Linked DNA regions of Canis lupus familiaris. The protein of the gene in region 4 purifies or fractionates together with the protein of the main gene of each other region. This does not show direct contact. Links are inferred from orthologs where the notes say so. Each region holds a gene or a part of one and is shown on either strand. Other genes may lie near its edges. The genes, in order: CHD4, CDKN2A, PCNA and TOP1.

Region 1 (4,349 bases), on a different chromosome or scaffold from region 4:
CCATTTTCTTAAGGCTTTTTCAAAGCAATCCCCCATGTCATCCCCCTCACTAATAAGTCACATCTCTCAGTTCCTCATCTTCCTCACCTCCGTGAAAGCTGGACACCAGGACAAACCCGTGCAGGTGAAGGGAACACCCATCCACATAAGACCCCCAAACTTCTCAAGCAGATAATGCACAGAGACAACATTCAAAGTGGCTGAGACATAAAAGAAGATTTGGGAAAGGGGCAGGAATGGGGTGTGGCAAGTGGAAAAACTGGGTCATGCTACAGCTTGGGGCAGAGTTCACCCTGGGAGCCTGCACTGCTCCCAATCAACACAGGGGCAGCCCCAGCCCAAGGGGCCAATGGGAAGCCAAAATGTGGAACCAACATTGGCTGGACAGCACTACTACTTCTCTCGCCCCTCACAGAGAGAGTCAGATCATGTTACCAATGCTGCTACCCCACCCCCACCTTGGGCAACAGTACAGAAATTTGCCACCTTGGTCTACACAGTGATGAGACTCGAGCCTAAGTTTCTCATCCCAACAGCTGAAGACTCAGCAACAAGACTGACCCCTTTACTAAGTGGCCTCAGTTTCAAACTAAGACTTGAAGACTTCCAACTTAGAAAACACCAAAATGTAGGAACATCTTTCCCAGACCTCAACTTACTGCTACAGCTAAGGAGAGAGAAGGCAGAAGTGAAAGATGTTTGATGGGAAACAAAAACACGACCAGCAGGCTCCAGAATTAAAGCGAAAATAAAGATAAGCAGAAGGATAAAGAAATGACATTTAAAAAAAAAAAAAGAAGCTTGAAAAAAAGGTCAAGGAAACAAGTAGGTGACTTAGCTACGGGCTGTGAAAAAGGAAAGACAGACAAGAGAGAGACATCCACTCAGATGCATGACATCAATCACCATTTGAGAAGAGACAAGAGCTTCTCCAATCAGGCAGGATGATTACAACCATACGGGTTTGGCCAGTCCCAGGAGCCACCCACAAACACAGAACAACCCCCAACACACCTACACAAACACTTCATGACACCAGCCCAAACCCTAGGCTCCCTGCACCAAAGCAGAAGCCTCTAGGAAAAAAGTCTGTATCATGTCCATTTGCTATGGGAAGGGGGGGGGGGGTTGCCCAGGGTGTCACCTCCCTTCTTTTGCCCCTCCCTAGTATATCCTTCAGGGTGTGACATCCTACCCCAAGCCCCCATCATTTCCCCATTTGAAACATTCCAGCAATCTGCCTGCTAAAAGCTCTCTACATCCCAGCTGAGGAGCGCAATTCAAACTTCACAGTTGAGACATCACAGAAAACCGGTAACTGATCAGAAGCTAAAAATAATCAGATAGAGAGTAACCAGCACTCCCTCTCTCCTTTCCACAGCAGCAACCACAGGATCCTGCTAACACAGATGCCGGGCTGGTCTTCAACATGCAATCCTCGACACCCACCCGAACCCCCACCCCGCCTCCAACGGGTCCCAGCCACCTGCATTCCTCCGTGGACCCACACAAGGTAAGGTCTCCAGACCAGAGGGCTCCCTCAACTGGGAACTGCATAGCATTCCTTAAAACAGACAGTGCAGCAAGCTTGCATCTCGGTCCCAGAGCCCAGGAGGCACATGGCTTCCACCCCCTCCCACAAGAGCTCCGCAGAAGGGAACCACTCCCTTCGGATGCCCTCCACCTCAGACTCTGCACGGAGAGAGAGAAACTCAACCTTGCCTCACCAGAGTCGCTAGGGAGGGCCCAAATGCCTCCTTCCTGCCCAGGGCCCTTGGGGAAGATTTACCTGGGTGGGGTGGGGGCAGGCTGTTGTTCAAAAGTGCATCCATATCTTCCTCCTCGCTGCCCGCGGAGCAGGGGGACGGGGAGCCCAGGCCCGACGCCATCCCCTTCCGCTCCCGGCCAGGGAATTGGCCCAGCTGCTCCTGCCTGCGGCCTGGGGCCCTCTACACTGGCCCGAGTCACTGTGCGGGGGAGGGGGGGAAGAAAGAGAGAACAGTCAGTGACGCGCACTGTCCCCCTCCCCCACACCCACCCGCTCTTTCCGCCCACCACCAAAGCGGCCCCCCCAACCCCAGCCACCCTAGCAGGGCACCCGAACCACTCAGGCTGAACTTAGTTCCACACTCCTCGAGGGCAGCCCGGAAGCCGGCTCCCCAACTGGAGCCCCCCAGATGAGCGGGAGCGACGCCCCCGAGGGCAGGCTGGTGCAGGCGTGGGGAGGGGGAGAAACCAGGCTGGACCGAGCAGGGTATGTCGGGGGAGGGGGGTCCGAGTGGCCGCGGCGCGGGGGGGTCGGGGGAGGCGGCAGGCAGCGAGGCGCTCGGGGACACAAGGTCACTTGGGGGTGGGGGGGCGCCTCCCTGCGCCTGGGGAGGGGCCAGTCCCCAGACAGGGCAGCTCTCCAAAGGCTGTCCTCTGGGACAACTCAGGTTCTCCGGAGGAGCCACGGGGCCGAGGGGGCGTGGAGGCTCGGGCGCTCCAGGGGGCTGGAGGCTGGGACGCGGGGGGCGAGGGAGCGCCCACCGGGCAGGGGGCCGGGCCACGTGTCCCGGGGGGCAAGTGAGCAAAGGGCGAGGGGGCGGGCGCCGGGCATTGTGGGAGACCCAGCCCGAGGTGGGAGCCGCGGGGGGCAGGACTCGGGCCGGCTCAGGGCGGGGGCGGGGGGGGCAGGGCGCCCTGCAGGCAAGGAAAAGGAAGGGTCGGCTCCTCTGGGCAGGGGGCGGTCCGCGAGTCCGGGACATCTGAGGAAGGGGTGGATGGAGGGATGAGCTTGGGGGCTGGTCAGGCTCAGAGGGGCGTCTCTTTAGGAACCCCGCGCTCTCCTCACCCCGGAGCCGCCGCAGGTCGCGCTGGGTCCGGCCCGGTGTCACTCCCGCTCCGGCTCCTCCTCGCCGCGGCCGAAGGGGGGAAAATGGCTCCGGCTCCGGCGTCGCCTCTTAAAGGGCCCGAAACACCGGCCGGGAAATCCCACCGCACAGGCCCCGCCCCCCCACGGACAGCCCATAATAACCTCAACCAACTCCAACCCCCCCTCCACTACCGCCACCCTCCTCCTTAGGTCTCCCGGGCAACCCCCGCCCCCTCGTCGCTCCGGCAACCATTGGCCACGCCCCCTTCGAGCGCGCGCGCGCGTGTCACCCGGGCAACCACCCACCTCCGGCCATCCCATAATACACACGGACACCCCACCACCACCACCCCACACACACATACACTCCATACACCTATATGCTAAGGTTGTTGACATATCATAATATTGCAGACCTTTGCAACTAACCCTTTCCCCACCTCAGACATCCCATAATAGCCATCCTTTGCCAACTTCTTCACTCTTGGCCCTAATGCTAACATCCCATAATAATTCGTCACCTCTCCTTCCCCATGGCCATCCCATAATAAGCACCCCTCCCAGCACTTAAGCCTCACAGCCCATAATACTCATTCCCCATCCCCCACAGACATCCCATAATAACCACTCTTCATCCACCCCCAGTTTGATATCCCATAATAGTCAGAAACAACGCCCCCCCCCCCCCAGTACTACAACGGACACTTCGGCCTCCTCCCACACACATCCCGTAATAATCAGTTTCCCACTTTTACACTGACATCCCATAATAACCAACCCCCTAGCCTGAGCTGCCCTCAGCCCCTGCAGACTAGGGTCTAGATCCTCACACCACCACCCTCAGCCTTCATACATGCGTTCTAACTCCACAGCCCATAGTAACCTCTTCTCTGTCAAAGAGATATCCTCTAATGATCGGCAGCCCCACTGTCACCCTACAGATGGACATCCAATCTCCTTTCCTCTAACGCTGGAAAGATATCCCATAATTTTACTCTCCCACCCACACCTTGATATCCCATAATAATGTCAAGGAGCCCGAGGTCCACCAGACATACTCTAATACTCCCAGCACATCCCATAATGCTTCATCGCCAGCCACCACCCCTATACCTTTCCAGCCAGGCATCCCATAATATTCACATTCATACCTCCCCCACCTCCTCAGGCCATCAGGTCTATTCTAACACCCAGAGCCACAAGGTTGTGAAGCAGGCTGCTACCCGCACTGCCCTGTGCCCACCCCAACTTGTACATACCTTTATCCCTTTCTGGGCCAAAGCAGTATCCTGGCATAAAACCTCTTGATGTCTAGGGCAAGCCCTACCTTCCCTCAGACCATTTCTAGACTCTCAGGAACTGCCAGTCAACCTAGGGCCCCACCCAATCCCACCCAAATCCAGTTATTCTCCAGATGCTTACCTCCAGCTCCAGCTCTTAAATATTGAGTAAGACCAGCCAAATACCAGGCTGACCAGATGAACCATTTACATAA
Region 2 (4,571 bases), on a different chromosome or scaffold from region 4:
AGCACCAACTAGTTTGGGAAACCTTCGCCCTCGTCATCCATTTTGCAGGTGTGTGTAGGGGCAACGGCTGCCGGCGGGTCTGCAGACGCCCCCAGATCAGCGTGTGCGAGCGTCTCTGGCCTCGCGGGGCCAGCGCGCCCGTCCGGGTGTAGAACGCTGGGTGGGAAAGGGAAAGTTACCTCTCGGGGCGCCTCGGCGTGACCGCAGGACCCGGCCCCCGCAGGACCCGGCGAGGAACAGCGAGCTGCTGCTTCTGAGTAAAATAGGAAGCAATATTTTGTGACATGAAACACCCTGGTTCGAACTTGCTAGTTAGAAATCCTGTGCGGCTTTAAAATGCGGAGGGTTTGTACAGCGGAGGACGGAAACGAGAGAAATGTCGCTTTAATCGGGTTAACTGGCTCCGAGACCGCGTGCGCCTCCGCTGGGGGGGGGGGGCGATGGGCGGCGGGGGGAGGGGGGTGATGGGAGACCGGGAAGGGGCGGGGGGGGGCGATGGGCGGCGGGGAAGGGCGGGGGGGTGGTAATGGGCGACGGGAAAGGGGCGGGGGGGCGATGGGCGGCGGGGGGAGGGGGTGATGGGCGACGGGGAAGGGCGGGGGGGGGTGGTAATGGGCGACGGGAAAGGGGCGGGGGGGGGGCGATGGACGGCGGGGGGAGGGGGTGATGGGCGACGGGGAAGGGGCGGGGGGAGGTCGATGGGCGGCGGGGGGAGGGGCGGGGCGCCATGGGCGGCGGGGGGAGGGGGCGACGGGCGACGGGGGAGGGGCGGGGGGGCGATGGGCGAGGGGGGCGCAATGGGCGGCGGGGGGAGGAGCGATGGGCGGCGGGGGGAGGGGCGGGGCGCAATGGGCGGCTGGGGGAGGGGCGACGGGGGAGGGGCGGGGGGGGCGACGGGCGACGGGGGAGGGGCGACAGGGGCGCAAGGGGCGGCGGGGGGAGGGGTGATGGGCGGTGGGGGGGGCGGGGCGCAATGGGCGGCCGGGGGAGGGGGCGACGGGCGACGGGGGAGGGGCGGGGGGCGACGGGCGACGGGGGAGGGGCGACAGGGGCGCAATGGGCGGCGGGGGGAGGGGTGATGGGCGGCGGGGGGGGGCGGGGCGCAATGGGCGGCCGGGGGAGGGGGCGACGGGCGACGGGGGAGGGGCGGGGGGCGACGGGCGACGGGGGAGGGGCGACAGGGGCGCAATGGGCGGCGGGGGGGGGGGCGGGGCGCCATGGGCGGCCGGGGGAGGGGGCGACGGGCGACGGGGGAGGGGCGGGGGGCGATGGGCAGCGGGGGGAGGGGCGGGGGGGCAGCGCCCGGCTCGGGGAGCGCAGGCGGGGCGGAGCGCGGAGCGACGCGGCGCGAGGGCAGCTGTGGGGCGGCCCGCGGCTCCCTGCCCCCGCGGCTCGGTCGTGCTCCCCTGGGGGAGCCGTGGAACCGAGACGGCAGAGGCCACGCGTGGGGCGACTCGTTTCGCAGCGAGTTGAGAGCGGAGGGCGCTCTCCTGGATTGAAAGAGTCGGGTTGGAGGAGTCGAGGGGCCGAGTCTGGGGGCCGCTTCCGCCGGCCCCGGAGGAGGGGAGAGGAGGGGAGAGGAGGGGCGGGCGGGTCACGAGAGGCTGGGGCGGGCCGCTGGCGCCCGACGGCCGCGGCGGGAAGGAGGGAGGGAGGGAGGGAGCCGGGGGCCCGCGCTCGGGAGCAGCATGGAGCCCTTCGCCGACTGGCTGGCCTCGGCGGCAGCCCGGGGCCGCGCGGACGAGGTGCGGGCGCTGCTCGCGGCGGGGGCGCCTCCCGACGCGCCGAACCGCCTGGGTCGGAGCCCGATTCAGGTGGGTGAGCGCGCGGGCGGCGGGAGGAGGCGGTGGCGGACGACTGTGCGGCACAGGGTTTGCAAGGGAGTCCTCCAGGTCTGCCGGTCGCTGGTCGGGGACGGGGAGACTCCCTGGTGAGGTCCCAGGTGGTGTCTGGAGCCCGGAGCTTCCAGTGTCCGCGTCCTGGGGGCAGAGGAAGCCGCGGGGGGGGGGGGGGGGGGGGGGGGAGGGGAGATGGGGAGGCACGTGCAGGGCAGATGTCTGGTCTGAGATCGGGAGGGGGGAGCCTGTTCGTGTTAATATAGTCCGAGGTGTGCTCTCCATCTGATACACAGTTACGAACGTAAAGCAAGATTTTAAAGAAATGGAAGATTTGTTGGGCCCACTAGGCCGGAACTCATAGACCCCTGAAGGGAGCGGATCATCTTCTGTGCTAGCGGCGATTGTACTGGAAACCTTCTGCTGTGTAAATTGAATAAATATTCATTGAAATTGTTCAGAAGCAACTGCATGTTGTGTTTATTTTTACTTTAACCGTGTATGGCACATCTGTGCTTGTGAGAATTTAGGGAATACAGACAGACATAGATGAAGAAAAACAGTGTGATCTTGCCTGAGATAATGCCGTCGATTTAGCTACCATTTTGAGGGTACCTCCTATTATTTTTGTTACTTTTGACTTGCTATAGATTAACGCAGTTGAGAGAGTTTTGGATTCCTCACGGTTCAGAAATGTGGTTTCTTCCCTCCTGACTCCGGTTGTGGGTGGGGGTGGGGGTGCTGGGTATTTGCTGTTGTTGTTTGCCTTCACTAAATTCCTAAATCCAGGCTAAAAAAAAAAAAAAAAAAAACCCAAAACCAAAAAACCCTATTTCTCCCTGTTCGTCACCACCCTAGTTTTATTCCCAGTGTTGACAATGATTTTGGATTGTGAAAAATAAAATGTATGTGAAACAAAGGCTCACTGCACAAATTCAAGCATAACAAGACAAAGGAAAGTAACTGTACCTGCAATTGCACAGATTTCACAAGTCATCTTCCTTTCCTGAAACAATGCTACATAGGATAAATTTTATATACCTTAACATACATATATAAAAATAAAAACAAAATGCCTTAAAACTTGAGATTATTTGGGATTTTAAGTGTGAAGGGATTTTGAGAGTAGAGAGGTTGTGTGATGGTAGAAGAAAACCATGAGTCCTTTAAAAAGAATGCATGCATGATTTCTCATTTCTCTAAGATTTTGCTCAGAGACTGAGTGTGGCCTTGAAGTTTGGAATATGTTTGAAGAGACTTTGTTTAAATACAAAAAGAAAAAAGTTGGATAATTAGTTTTAACAATTTTTTTAATAGGGAAAATAAGAACATAGAGAAAAGAGTGCATGGTTTTGGTTTAGAACCCTAACCAACCTTGTGTTTAATACAAAACTAATTAGTTTATAGAAAATTATAATTACTTTAAATATCTTATCAAATGGATTTAAGCACTCTACAAATATTCATTTAATCGATTCTTTTTCTTTCAGCTTTGGATTGCTATTTAGATTTAAGTATTTAAGTGTTAGGTTTCTTTCATACTTTAATACTGCAAAATATAATGAAAACCTTTAAAATCAGTTAAGTGTATGTTACCTTACATGGGAAAAGAGGCTTCGCAGATGTTCCTTGGCTTAGAGAAATAATTATTTACGTTTAATGCAGAATGTAATTAAAAATAATTCCTTTTTATACAGTCACTATAAGTCTAGCTAATATAATCAAATAGTGGTTAGCCTAAAAGAAAATTATCTACCACTGCCATCTGCCATGTAACACTCAAATTGTAAGGTTGCTGTGATTGTAGATACTATTTAAAAAATCCTCTTTGGTAATGACTTTGTTTCAAAGACGATTTATCAAACAAATGAAGGGAGCACCTCCTGTTTAATGAACTCTCAGAGTATATAAACTTGGGAAGTTTCTTAGTTTCCTATTTCTGCTGTAACAAATTACCACAACTTTTGTGTCTCAAACCAACATAAATTTATTATCTTATAGTTCTGGAGGTTGAAGTCTAAAATGGATCCACAATGCTGCATTTCTTTTGGAAGTTCTAGGGGAGAATCTGTTTCCAACTTCTAATGGCCATCAACATTCCTGTGCTCATGGTCCCTGCATCTTCTTCTCTCTGACCTCCATTCTTAGATCTTTCTTCTGTAACCTCATAAGGGAATTTGTGATTACATTGGGCCCATCCTGATAATCCATGTTAATCTCTCTCAAAATCCTTAATTTAATCACATCTGGGAAGCCTCTCTTCCCATGTAAGGTATTATATTCACAGCTTTCAAGTGTTAGGTAGTACACATCTTTGGGGACATTCTTCAGCTCATTATGGGAAGGAATTTGGGGGCTGGTTAGAGAACCCTCATTTTATACTTAGAGTGAATTTTAACATTCTGGTAGGCTAAGTGTATATTAAAAGTTTTTTAGGAATTAAAGATTTGTTGTTGTTTTCACTTTCACTTTTTAACAATTATTATGTCCTGGGCTTGGATATACAACAGAAAACCATACAAAATCTCTGGGCCTTATATAATTTTGTATCAAAATGGGTGGGGGGGCTATAGGAGGTTAGGCTATAGTTCAAGCCAGTTCGTCTCTCACTCTTTTGCTATTGTCATGCCTCTGACAGACAATAGGGTGTGGCTGGAATTCCGCAAAAGTTTGGAGAATATAATGGAATTCAATGTGGACAGAAAAATGGAATAAGCAGAACTGTCTAAGGGAGGT
Region 3 (4,146 bases), about 13 Mb from region 4:
CGCAGGAAATTACAACAGCATCTCCGATGTGACTCAGATCTCGGCATATACGTGCAAATTCTCCAGAAGGCATCTTTACCACACAGCTATATTCTTGTTCCTGTTAAAATGAAAAATTAGAGTTCACTTGCTGGAAACTAAATTTGGCATTCTCATTTTTCTGAAGCCTCAGCATTTAGACAAGAATTCAGAATTTAAGGTTTTCTGATTACTTTAAAATATCACTCATTGTGTATTTCCATAACATAATCTCTAACTCAAAAAATAAATGCAGATATAAAACAAGTATGGGGATCCCTGGGTGGCGCAGCAGTTTGGCGCCTGCCTTTGGCCCAGGGCGCGATCCTGGAGACCCGGGATCGAATCCCACATCAGGCTCCCGGTGCATGGAGCCTGCTTCTCCCTCTGCCTGTGTCTCTGCCTCTCTCTCTCTCTCTCTCTCTCTCTCTCTGTGACTATCATAAATAAATAAAAATTAAAAAAAAATTTTTAAAACAATATGTCATAAGAATAATCATACTAAGAAAACTAAAATTAAAGTTTAAATCTTTAATGATAAATGCACTATCCAGGAGAAAAGAGCCTCCCCCTAAATCCCCCTCCAGGGCTAAATCAAGAGGACATTAGGGTATGGCCTACAAATGATGATGCGTGTGCAAGCAGGCCCAACTGCTTACCAAAACAAAACAAGAAGATAAGATAGTAAGGATTTTAAACATCTCAACATTTCTTATGTTGATAAACCTCACCTGAATGAATTTCTGCTAACACAGCTTTATTTTTATTTTTAAGATTTTATTTATTTATTCATGAAAGACACAGAGACAGAGAGAGAGGCAGAGACACAAGAAGAGGGAGAAGCAAGCTCCATGCAGGGAGCCTCAATCCTGGGACTCCAGGATTATGCCCCTGGCGGAAGGCAGGTGCCAAACCGCTGAGCCACCCAGGGATCCCCTAACACTGCTTTAAAGTCTACTCTTAATACTCACTGGAATTCCAAGTTGTTCAACATCTAAATCCATTAACTTCATTTCATAGTCTGAAACTTTTTCTTGATCTACCAAAAGAAAGCAGATTGAAGAAAAGTATGTAAGTTTATAACTATGCCATTAATAAGCTTTACAATCATTAGGAACATTTTCTTAAGTTTTTCACAACTAAGAGAAATCTTTTACACTGCATTTAAATTTCCTCTAATATAATTTAGTAGAAGAGTATCACCTACTTGGAGCTTCAAATACTAGTGCCAAGGTGTCCGCATTATCTTCAGCCCTTAGTGTAATGATGTCTTCATTGCCAGCACATTTTAGTATTTTGGACATGCTAGAACACGGAAGACACAGGATTTAAAATTGCCACAACGTTCTCAGAATCGTTAAGATTTCTGACCCAATTAAAACAAGGAGTTACCATCTTTATTTACCAAGGTCGTCTGAGGAATTGGTGAGTGAGGTAAACTAATCCGGCCATTTTGTAACCCAATTTGGCAGTATTTATTCTTAAACAGGCACACAGCCTACCATGAGCAATTTCACTTCTAGATACAAATAAAAGAGCAGCATTTCACGCATTGCAAATTGCAAATCCCTTTGGTGCGCGAAGCAAATTATTGGGTCCTGACGGTCAAGAAAAATGAGCTAAGATACTTATTAATACACACTGCATGCAGTCGAGGTCAACTATTTCTCATAAGCCTCATATTTGAACATGTTTTTGGAAGGCGGGGTGGCTCAGTGGTTGAGCGCCTGCCTTTGGCTCACGTCGTGATCCCGGGGTCCTGGGATGGAGTCCCACATAGAGCTCCCTATGTGGAGCCTGAGGGAGCCTGCTTCTCCCTCTGCCTGCGTCTCTCACGAATAAATAAAATCTTTAAACATGTTCATGTACTAGACATGTAGTGATCAAAGAGTTGAAAGCCACTGCCCTGGAGAAATTTTAAGTCCAGGAACTTAGGGTGCTCACTGCAACTTCCTAATAATAAAGGACCAGAATCAACCGATGGTCCCTAGGTAGGGTGACGTAACTCGGGCACATTATAAAGCGGTTAAAGGCAGTCAAGCCAAAGGGTTCTCATCCAAGGCCGCCGGCACTTAGTGGCCAAGGTGCTGTGTAAGTCTTTTCCCGGCACCACGAAGAAGCCCGTCATTTTCCCGCCACCACCCGCTTTGTGACTTTGGCGCGGAAAACGCCGGTTCGCGCGGCTGCCAGCGCGGGCTTTCGGAACCGCGCGCTCCGCTAGATCCCGCCCCTGGGCGCCGCAGGCCAATGAGAAGGCGCGGGTCGCCCACGCCAGCCAATGAGGACCTAGCTCGCAGGCGCTCCCGCCAAGAGCCGGAGGTGGGGGTGCGAGAGAGCCCGGCCCTTGGCGACCCCAGGGGCTCACCTGGTGAGGTTCACACCCATGGCCAAGTTGCGGTCGCAGCGGTACGTGTCGAAGCCCTCGGAGCGCAGAGTGAGCTGCACCAGGGAGACGTGGGAGGAGTCCATGCTCTGCAGGTTTACGCCGCTCGAGCTGATGTCCCAGCAGGCCTCGTTGATGAGATCCTTAAGCGCCTCCAGCACCTTCTTCAGGATGGAGCCCTGGACCAGGCGCGCCTCGAACATGGTGGCAGAGTCACAACGACACAGCTGCAGGCGGAGACGAAGAGGAAGTTGTAGCCGGCTTGGCGTCACGGGGTACGAGCGAGCTGGCGAACGCAGCGGCGAGGGCCGGGGAGCCGGGACGATCACCGCCCGCCCGCTCCGCCTGCAACCGTTTAATAGCGCCGCGTCTGCTGGCGCGCGCGCTCCGCCTCTGCGCCGCGCGTGGCGCGTCACCACGTTGCCCCGCCCACTCCCTGGCGGACGGACTCCGGGGCCAATAGTGTCCTTGGCCTCCGCTCCAGCCCGTCCTCCCTGAACGTCCACTGAAGGGTCGGCCGCAGGGGCGGGGCAGGGGCGGGGCAGGAGCGGGGCGCCTCCGCCTCCCGCGGGACTGCCTTCTCCACCCCGCTCGCGACGCCGGGCGCTGAACAAGTCTGGGCTTGTGACGGCCAGACCCAGGTTGGGGTTCTTTGAGTTACAGCCTTGTGCTGCCTCCTCAACCTCCCGCTTCAGGACTAGAAAGGCTTTGGCCGTGAAAGTGAAAGGCAAATCCAGCCCACCGGGAGGAAGACGCCTGGCGGCCCGAGGAATACAGCTGTTTTAAAAGTGCATTTTATTTTTGCTATCGTAGAAGTGATGTGTTGATAAATGTTGCTAAGCTGACCACTGAAAGATTGCAATCTACAATATTTTCCTAAATACAGATATCAGCAATCTTGTTTTAAAAATCTAAGCTTATTTGCGTGAAAATTCTGATCTGCATATTAAAAACTTGTTACAGGGGGCACGTGGGTGGTTCAGTCAGTGGAGCCTCTGCCTTTGGCTCAGGTCATGACCCCAGGGTCCTGAGATCTAGATCCAAGGTTGGCTCCTGGCTCCGGGAGGAGTCTGCTTCTACCTCTCCTTCTCCCTCTGCCCCTCCCCAATATGTTTTCTCTCTCAAATAAATAAGATTTTAAATATTTTATTTACTCATGAGAGATACAGAGAGGCAGAGACGTAGGTAGAGGGAGAAGCAGGTTCCCTGCACAGAGCCTGATGCAGGACTCAATCCCAGGACCCCGGGATCAGGCCCTGAGCCAAAGGCAGATGTTCAACCACTGAGCCACTCAGGTGTCCCCATTTGTAAATTTTTTTTTTTTTTTTTTTAAGATATTCGTGAGAGACACACAGAGACAGAGAGAGGCAGAGACACAGGCAGAGGGAGAAGCAGGCTCCATGCAGGGAGCCCGACGTGGGACTCGATCCCGGGACTCCAGGATCACACCCTGGGCTGAAGGCGGCGCTAAACCGCTGAGCCACCTAGGCGTCCCCTCCCCCCACCTTTTTTCCCCCACCCCCCCCCCTTTTTTTTTTTTTAAACAGGTTCTTTTTTTTAATTTTATTTATGTATTTATTTATTTATTTATGATAGGCACACAGTGAGAGAGAGAGAGGCAGAGACATAGGCAGAGGGAGAAGCAGGCTCCATGCAGGGAGCCCGACATGGGATTCGATCCCGGGTCTCCAGGATCCCGCCCTGGGCCAAAGGCAGGCGCCAAACCGCTGTGCCACCCAGGGATC
Region 4 (4,456 bases):
CAATCATCACATATTCAATCGTTCCTTTGCATAATTTAAGTGAGATCCATGGAGATTAACTTTCTGAGGAGAAAGGACTAAACTTTGCTTCATTGCTAAATACACAACCTACTCAGCCCAATCTTAAAGTCAAAAGAACACTTTTTTCTGTGTTAAGCTCCTACCTTCCTCCAAGAGAGGTCAAAAGGACTCCTTACATCCTCATCTGCCACATCCTTTCTTTGCTTCCACATCCCAAGGAAACATTTATACCTCTGCGGTTTTCTGAACTGCAGAGGACTCCTCGCCCCTTCAAAATCCTGATAGGTTAGCTAAACACTAGTTAAGAAATACTCCAACCCCTGACACTCAGCACCTAGTCTTGCACAACACTCAGCTCAGAAGTCACCTCCTCTAAGAAATTTCCCCACCCCCAGACAAAATTAATTCTCCTAGTTTCTCAAAGCATTTTGAGTATACATATACCTCCGCACCTACCTTATAATTAACTAATTATGTCTCTCCCAGCAGACGGGATTGAGGGCGAGAGAAGCATTGTGACCCAAGGTTCAGATCTAGCATTACACAGTGTTTCGCACATATTAGGTGCTCAAGAAATGCTACTTTAATTTAACCTACAACCCTTCCTTGCAGAATCACATCTCTTGCTAGATGCCCCACTACAAATCTGAACATAAGGCTGCTCTCAATAGAGCAGGCTAACACGATGGACTGCTGATTACAACATCAGAAAATCTACTCATCAGCTTCTCCCATTGGAGAGGTTCCCGGAACCCGAACTCAATTGAGCAGGATTATGTACCATCAGAATCAGTGGGAATTCCCAGCACACAACAGAGGGTACCTTCTCCTTCAATAAGATTGTTGAAAAGCCCGCAGGGTGAGCTTTTTATTGGGGGAATCTTCATTGAATAACTGAAGTGGAAATACTCAAAGAATAAATGCCTTGATATGGCTGAAAAGGGGTCAAAAGCATAAAGATCTAGGAAAAGCAAGCTAGCTCTTGGTTCCTGAAAAACAGCGGCTCCTGAAAAAAGAACAGGAAACAAGGGTGGATGCGGACTACTCTTTGTTTCAATAAATAAAATCTTTTTTTCTTTCCCATGGCCCGAAAGAAAAGGCCAACACACCAGGTCCAGATGAGATGCTCCACAACCTTTTCTCCTGACAAGTACACTAAACTGAGGTTCTTAAAAATAAATAAATAAATAAAATAAAATAAAAACAAAAAAGCCAAAAAAAAAAAAAAACCCAACAACAAAAACCAAGAAAAGAGAAACAAAACACTGCATTAGGAACCTCAGCCATCACGAAAAGTTCTAGTCAGAAATACTTAAAAAAAATTTTTTTTTTAAATCTATATGCCCGAGTCCAACGTTTACTTTGGAGGGGCCCACGGAGAACTTGCAAACTTTGTGAAGGGAGGTACTAGTACTACCTTTGCAAAGAACACAACTTGGGGGAAAAACAACCTCAAAATATGAAAAACTCCACAAAGGGTGGCTTTAGTTTTAGGACCGTAATTCCCATCATAAAATTCTTACACCCCCACCCTTCACCTTCTCCTCCCCCCCACCACCACCGCCGCCGCCACCACCGCCGCCGCCGCCCGCCCCCCTCCGCCCCCCAAATCAACAGTTGCCGAAGGGTAGCTTTCATTCTGGAAACAGAAAAGGAAACAAACGAGAAGCAGAAAGGCAATAACCCCCCAAAATAAAGTTCTCCTTGGGGAAAAAAAATAGTAGCCATTCAGTCTCCCACCCTTCCCTCCCCGGTGAGGTCTGTGATTTCCACGGCTTTGCTCTGCAGAAAGCTCTTTCTGGGCAGCTCAAGGAAGGAGCCGAGGGAGGGAGAGAAAGAGACACACAGGCACAGAAAGGAGAGGAGAAAAAGAAAATGGCGCAGAGACTAAGTCCCGACTGTCGACAAGGCGACTTTCCCGGGAGGAATCCGGGCCGACAAAGGCTGCCCGAAGGCCGGCGGCGGGCGACCCCGGGTCTCCGTTGCCCCCTCTTGGGAAGGCCGCGGTCTGGGGGGGCTGGGGTCCCCGGAAAGGGGGTCCAGAGGCGGCCCGATGGGAACAATGGGGCCGGTGAGCGAGGAGCCGGGACTTAGTCTCTGGGACGCCATGTCTGTCCTCTGCCCGGCTCCGGCCCGGCGCGGGCTGGGCGGCCGGCGCCGGGGCCCCCGGGGTCGGGGCGGGGGGCACACTCACCATTCAGTCGGAAATCCGCTTCAATCTGGAGGGAGAAAAGGAGGCAGTATGAACAAACGGGCTCCCCCCGGCCCGCGGGCGGCGAGCGCGCGGGGCCGGGGGCCTAGCCCAGCCCGCGCCCGAGGATGAGGATGAGGATGAGGAGGAGGAGGAGGAGGGAGGGGCCCCGGGGTCGGCCGTAAGGGGCAGCCCCCCGCCGTCCCTAACTCGGCGGCTTCCGCCCGCGGCCTAGCGCGCCCAGCCCCGCCGGCCGCCCGCCCCTGGCCGGGGGCTCCGGCCTGTCAAGGCGGCCGGGCCCGCGCCGGGGGTCGCGGGGGTCGCGGGGGGTCGCGGGGCGGGGCCGGGGCGCCAGGAGGACCCGGCCGAGCCGTACCTGGGAATCGTTGTGCAGATGGTCCCCACTCATGTCGGCCGGAGCGGCGAGCGCGGCGGGCGGCGAAGGGCGCCGAGGAGACGCAGACGGTCGGGGCCGGCCTGTGCGGGCGGACGGGGGCCCCCGGAGGCTCCCGGAGGCGCGGAGAAGCGGCGGCGGCTGCGGGCCCGACGCTCCCCGAACGGCTGAGGCGGCGACGGCGGCGGCGACGCGGACTGACTGCCGGGCGGGCGGCGAGAGCGGACCCCAGCAGTTGTGTAACAGCCTAAGTTCGCATTTCGCCTCACTGCGCCTGCGCGGCCGCTTTTAAACGAGACGTCGGCGACGTCAGAGACTCGCGGAAAGAGGCCGAGGGCTGCGCGGCCCGCCCCCCCCCGCCCCCCCCGCCCTCCTGCGCTTCCCAAGGCGGACCCGGCTTTGCATCGCAGGCCCCGCCCCCAAGCCCCTGCGCGCCGCCGTGATTTGCATAAGCAGCCGACTCCTCCCACGGCCGCCCCCCGGGGCGATCTTGCCTGGCTCTCCCCGCGCGGTTTCTCGGAACCCCGTACGCCTCTGCGAGGCAGTGCGCAGGCGCAGCCCGGACGCCGCCCCCGGACCCCGGCCGGCGGCGCGGGCCACGTGGTGGGCCTTTAAAGGCCGCGGCGGGACCGCGGCGGGACCGCGGGAGCCCCGGGCCGAGCAGCCGCCCTGCTGCCGCCCGCTCGCCGCTGCAAATGCCGTGGGCGCTCGGGGCCCCGGACCTTTCACCGGCGCTTTTTCGCTCATGAAGCGGACCCCGATGCCGCCTTGCAGGCAGGAGCTCCCGCCCTAGCCTTTGTCTAGGCCTTCCAACGTGCTGGATTATTTTCACTCCGCTTCTTAAAAAAAAAAAAAAAATTTTTTTTAAACCAACCAAAGGTCTGGTTTAGCTCCAGTTTTCTGCCGGGTACGTGTAGTCCCGGTCACAAAAGCCCTAATTTCATTCGTTCGTTCGTTCGATGAACGTAGCATTGAGCATCTCCCGTAAACCAGGAATCACGCTGAAAAAAACGGTGGTGGCAAAGGGCCAAAGGAAATGGGACCTTGGGGATAAACAGGGCAAAAGAACTGCCGTTAATGGGGCGCCGACTGTGTTGTGTGCTCTGATCTCTAAGATTTTAGTTCTTCGAATGTAGATGTCAGGCAGGAGGTTGTAGGTCACTTACCCTGACACAGTTTGATAAAATAGCCTCCACGGAGCTGGAGCTGTCGTGTGGATTCAGAGAACACCTCCACCCAGCTAGAAAAGCTCCACCCTGGACATCTTCCTCCTTCCTTTCAAATTAGTCCAGTTGATTGCGTCTGTTCAACCCATCTACCTCCTCTGCCCACGCATCTGTCGAAGTCTGCGTTATCTCTTGCGTGGATTATCACAATGCACTCCTAACAACGGCCCCTGCTTCCATTCTGGCCCTCTCACGAGCTGCTAGCCAGAAGTAGCCGGAGTGCCCTTTCAACACGCCACCTAACATCCCCTTCCCACAATACTTGCTTTCACTCTCGGTATAAAGTGCACAATTCTTAAAGTACCTACGGGAGCCCTGCTACATAACCCGCATCATTCAAGTGTGATCTTTGTGAATTTTGTCATATCTATTACCACTTCCACTACTTTACTTAATATTTTATTTTAAGATTTTATTTATTTATTCATGAGACACAGAGAGAGAAGCAGGCTCCATGCAGGGAGCCCCACGTGGGACTCAAGCCCGGGTCTCCAGGATCATACCCCGGGGCTGAAGGCGCCGCTAAACCGCTGGGCCACCGGGGCTGCCCTTAATATTTTAACGAATCCCCTACTTTATTTAGCTTCCTCCTAAGTAATAATATCTATAAAATAACAATGTCTG

The links.
Region 1: the proteins of TOP1 (region 4) and CHD4 purify together in Homo sapiens (affinity purification with mass spectrometry; 3 studies listed by BioGRID and IntAct, with this or other methods). This does not show direct contact. The link is inferred for Canis lupus familiaris from reciprocal best matches to the Homo sapiens genes TOP1 and CHD4.
Region 2: the proteins of TOP1 (region 4) and CDKN2A purify together in Homo sapiens (affinity purification with western blotting; 3 studies listed by BioGRID). This does not show direct contact. The link is inferred for Canis lupus familiaris from reciprocal best matches to the Homo sapiens genes TOP1 and CDKN2A.
Region 3: the proteins of TOP1 (region 4) and PCNA purify together in Homo sapiens (affinity purification with western blotting; 3 studies listed by BioGRID and IntAct, with this or other methods). This does not show direct contact. The link is inferred for Canis lupus familiaris from reciprocal best matches to the Homo sapiens genes TOP1 and PCNA.

Annotation. Positions count from the first base shown.
Region 1 is NC_049248.1:7,681,356-7,685,704, forward strand, and holds the start of CHD4 (chromodomain-helicase-DNA-binding protein 4), read right to left. Parts: upstream 2,992-4,349; 5' UTR 2,834-2,991; intron 2,255-2,833; exon of another isoform or gene 2,084-2,254; intron 1,968-2,083; 5' UTR 1,890-1,967; coding exon 1,790-1,889; intron 1,514-1,789; exon of another isoform or gene 1,382-1,513; intron 1,088-1,381; exon of another isoform or gene 1,004-1,087; intron 1-1,003. UniProt on the Homo sapiens protein: ATP-dependent chromatin-remodeling factor that binds and distorts nucleosomal DNA. Acts as a component of the histone deacetylase NuRD complex which participates in the remodeling of chromatin.
Region 2 is NC_049232.1:41,339,934-41,344,504, reverse strand, and holds the start of CDKN2A (cyclin-dependent kinase inhibitor 2A), read left to right. Parts: upstream 1-1,676; 5' UTR 1,677-1,688; coding exon 1,689-1,814; intron 1,815-4,571. UniProt on the Homo sapiens protein: Acts as a negative regulator of the proliferation of normal cells by interacting strongly with CDK4 and CDK6. This inhibits their ability to interact with cyclins D and to phosphorylate the retinoblastoma protein.
Region 3 is NC_049245.1:16,928,550-16,932,695, reverse strand, and holds the start of PCNA (proliferating cell nuclear antigen), read right to left. Parts: upstream 2,801-4,146; 5' UTR 2,605-2,800; coding exon 2,384-2,604; intron 1,324-2,383; coding exon 1,226-1,323; intron 1,058-1,225; coding exon 990-1,057; intron 101-989; coding exon 1-100. UniProt on the Homo sapiens protein: Auxiliary protein of DNA polymerase delta and epsilon, is involved in the control of eukaryotic DNA replication by increasing the polymerase's processibility during elongation of the leading strand.
Region 4 is NC_049245.1:29,648,646-29,653,101, reverse strand, and holds the start of TOP1 (DNA topoisomerase 1), read right to left. Parts: upstream 2,886-4,456; 5' UTR 2,622-2,885; coding exon 2,589-2,621; intron 2,241-2,588; coding exon 2,216-2,240; intron 1-2,215. UniProt on the Homo sapiens protein: Releases the supercoiling and torsional tension of DNA introduced during the DNA replication and transcription by transiently cleaving and rejoining one strand of the DNA duplex.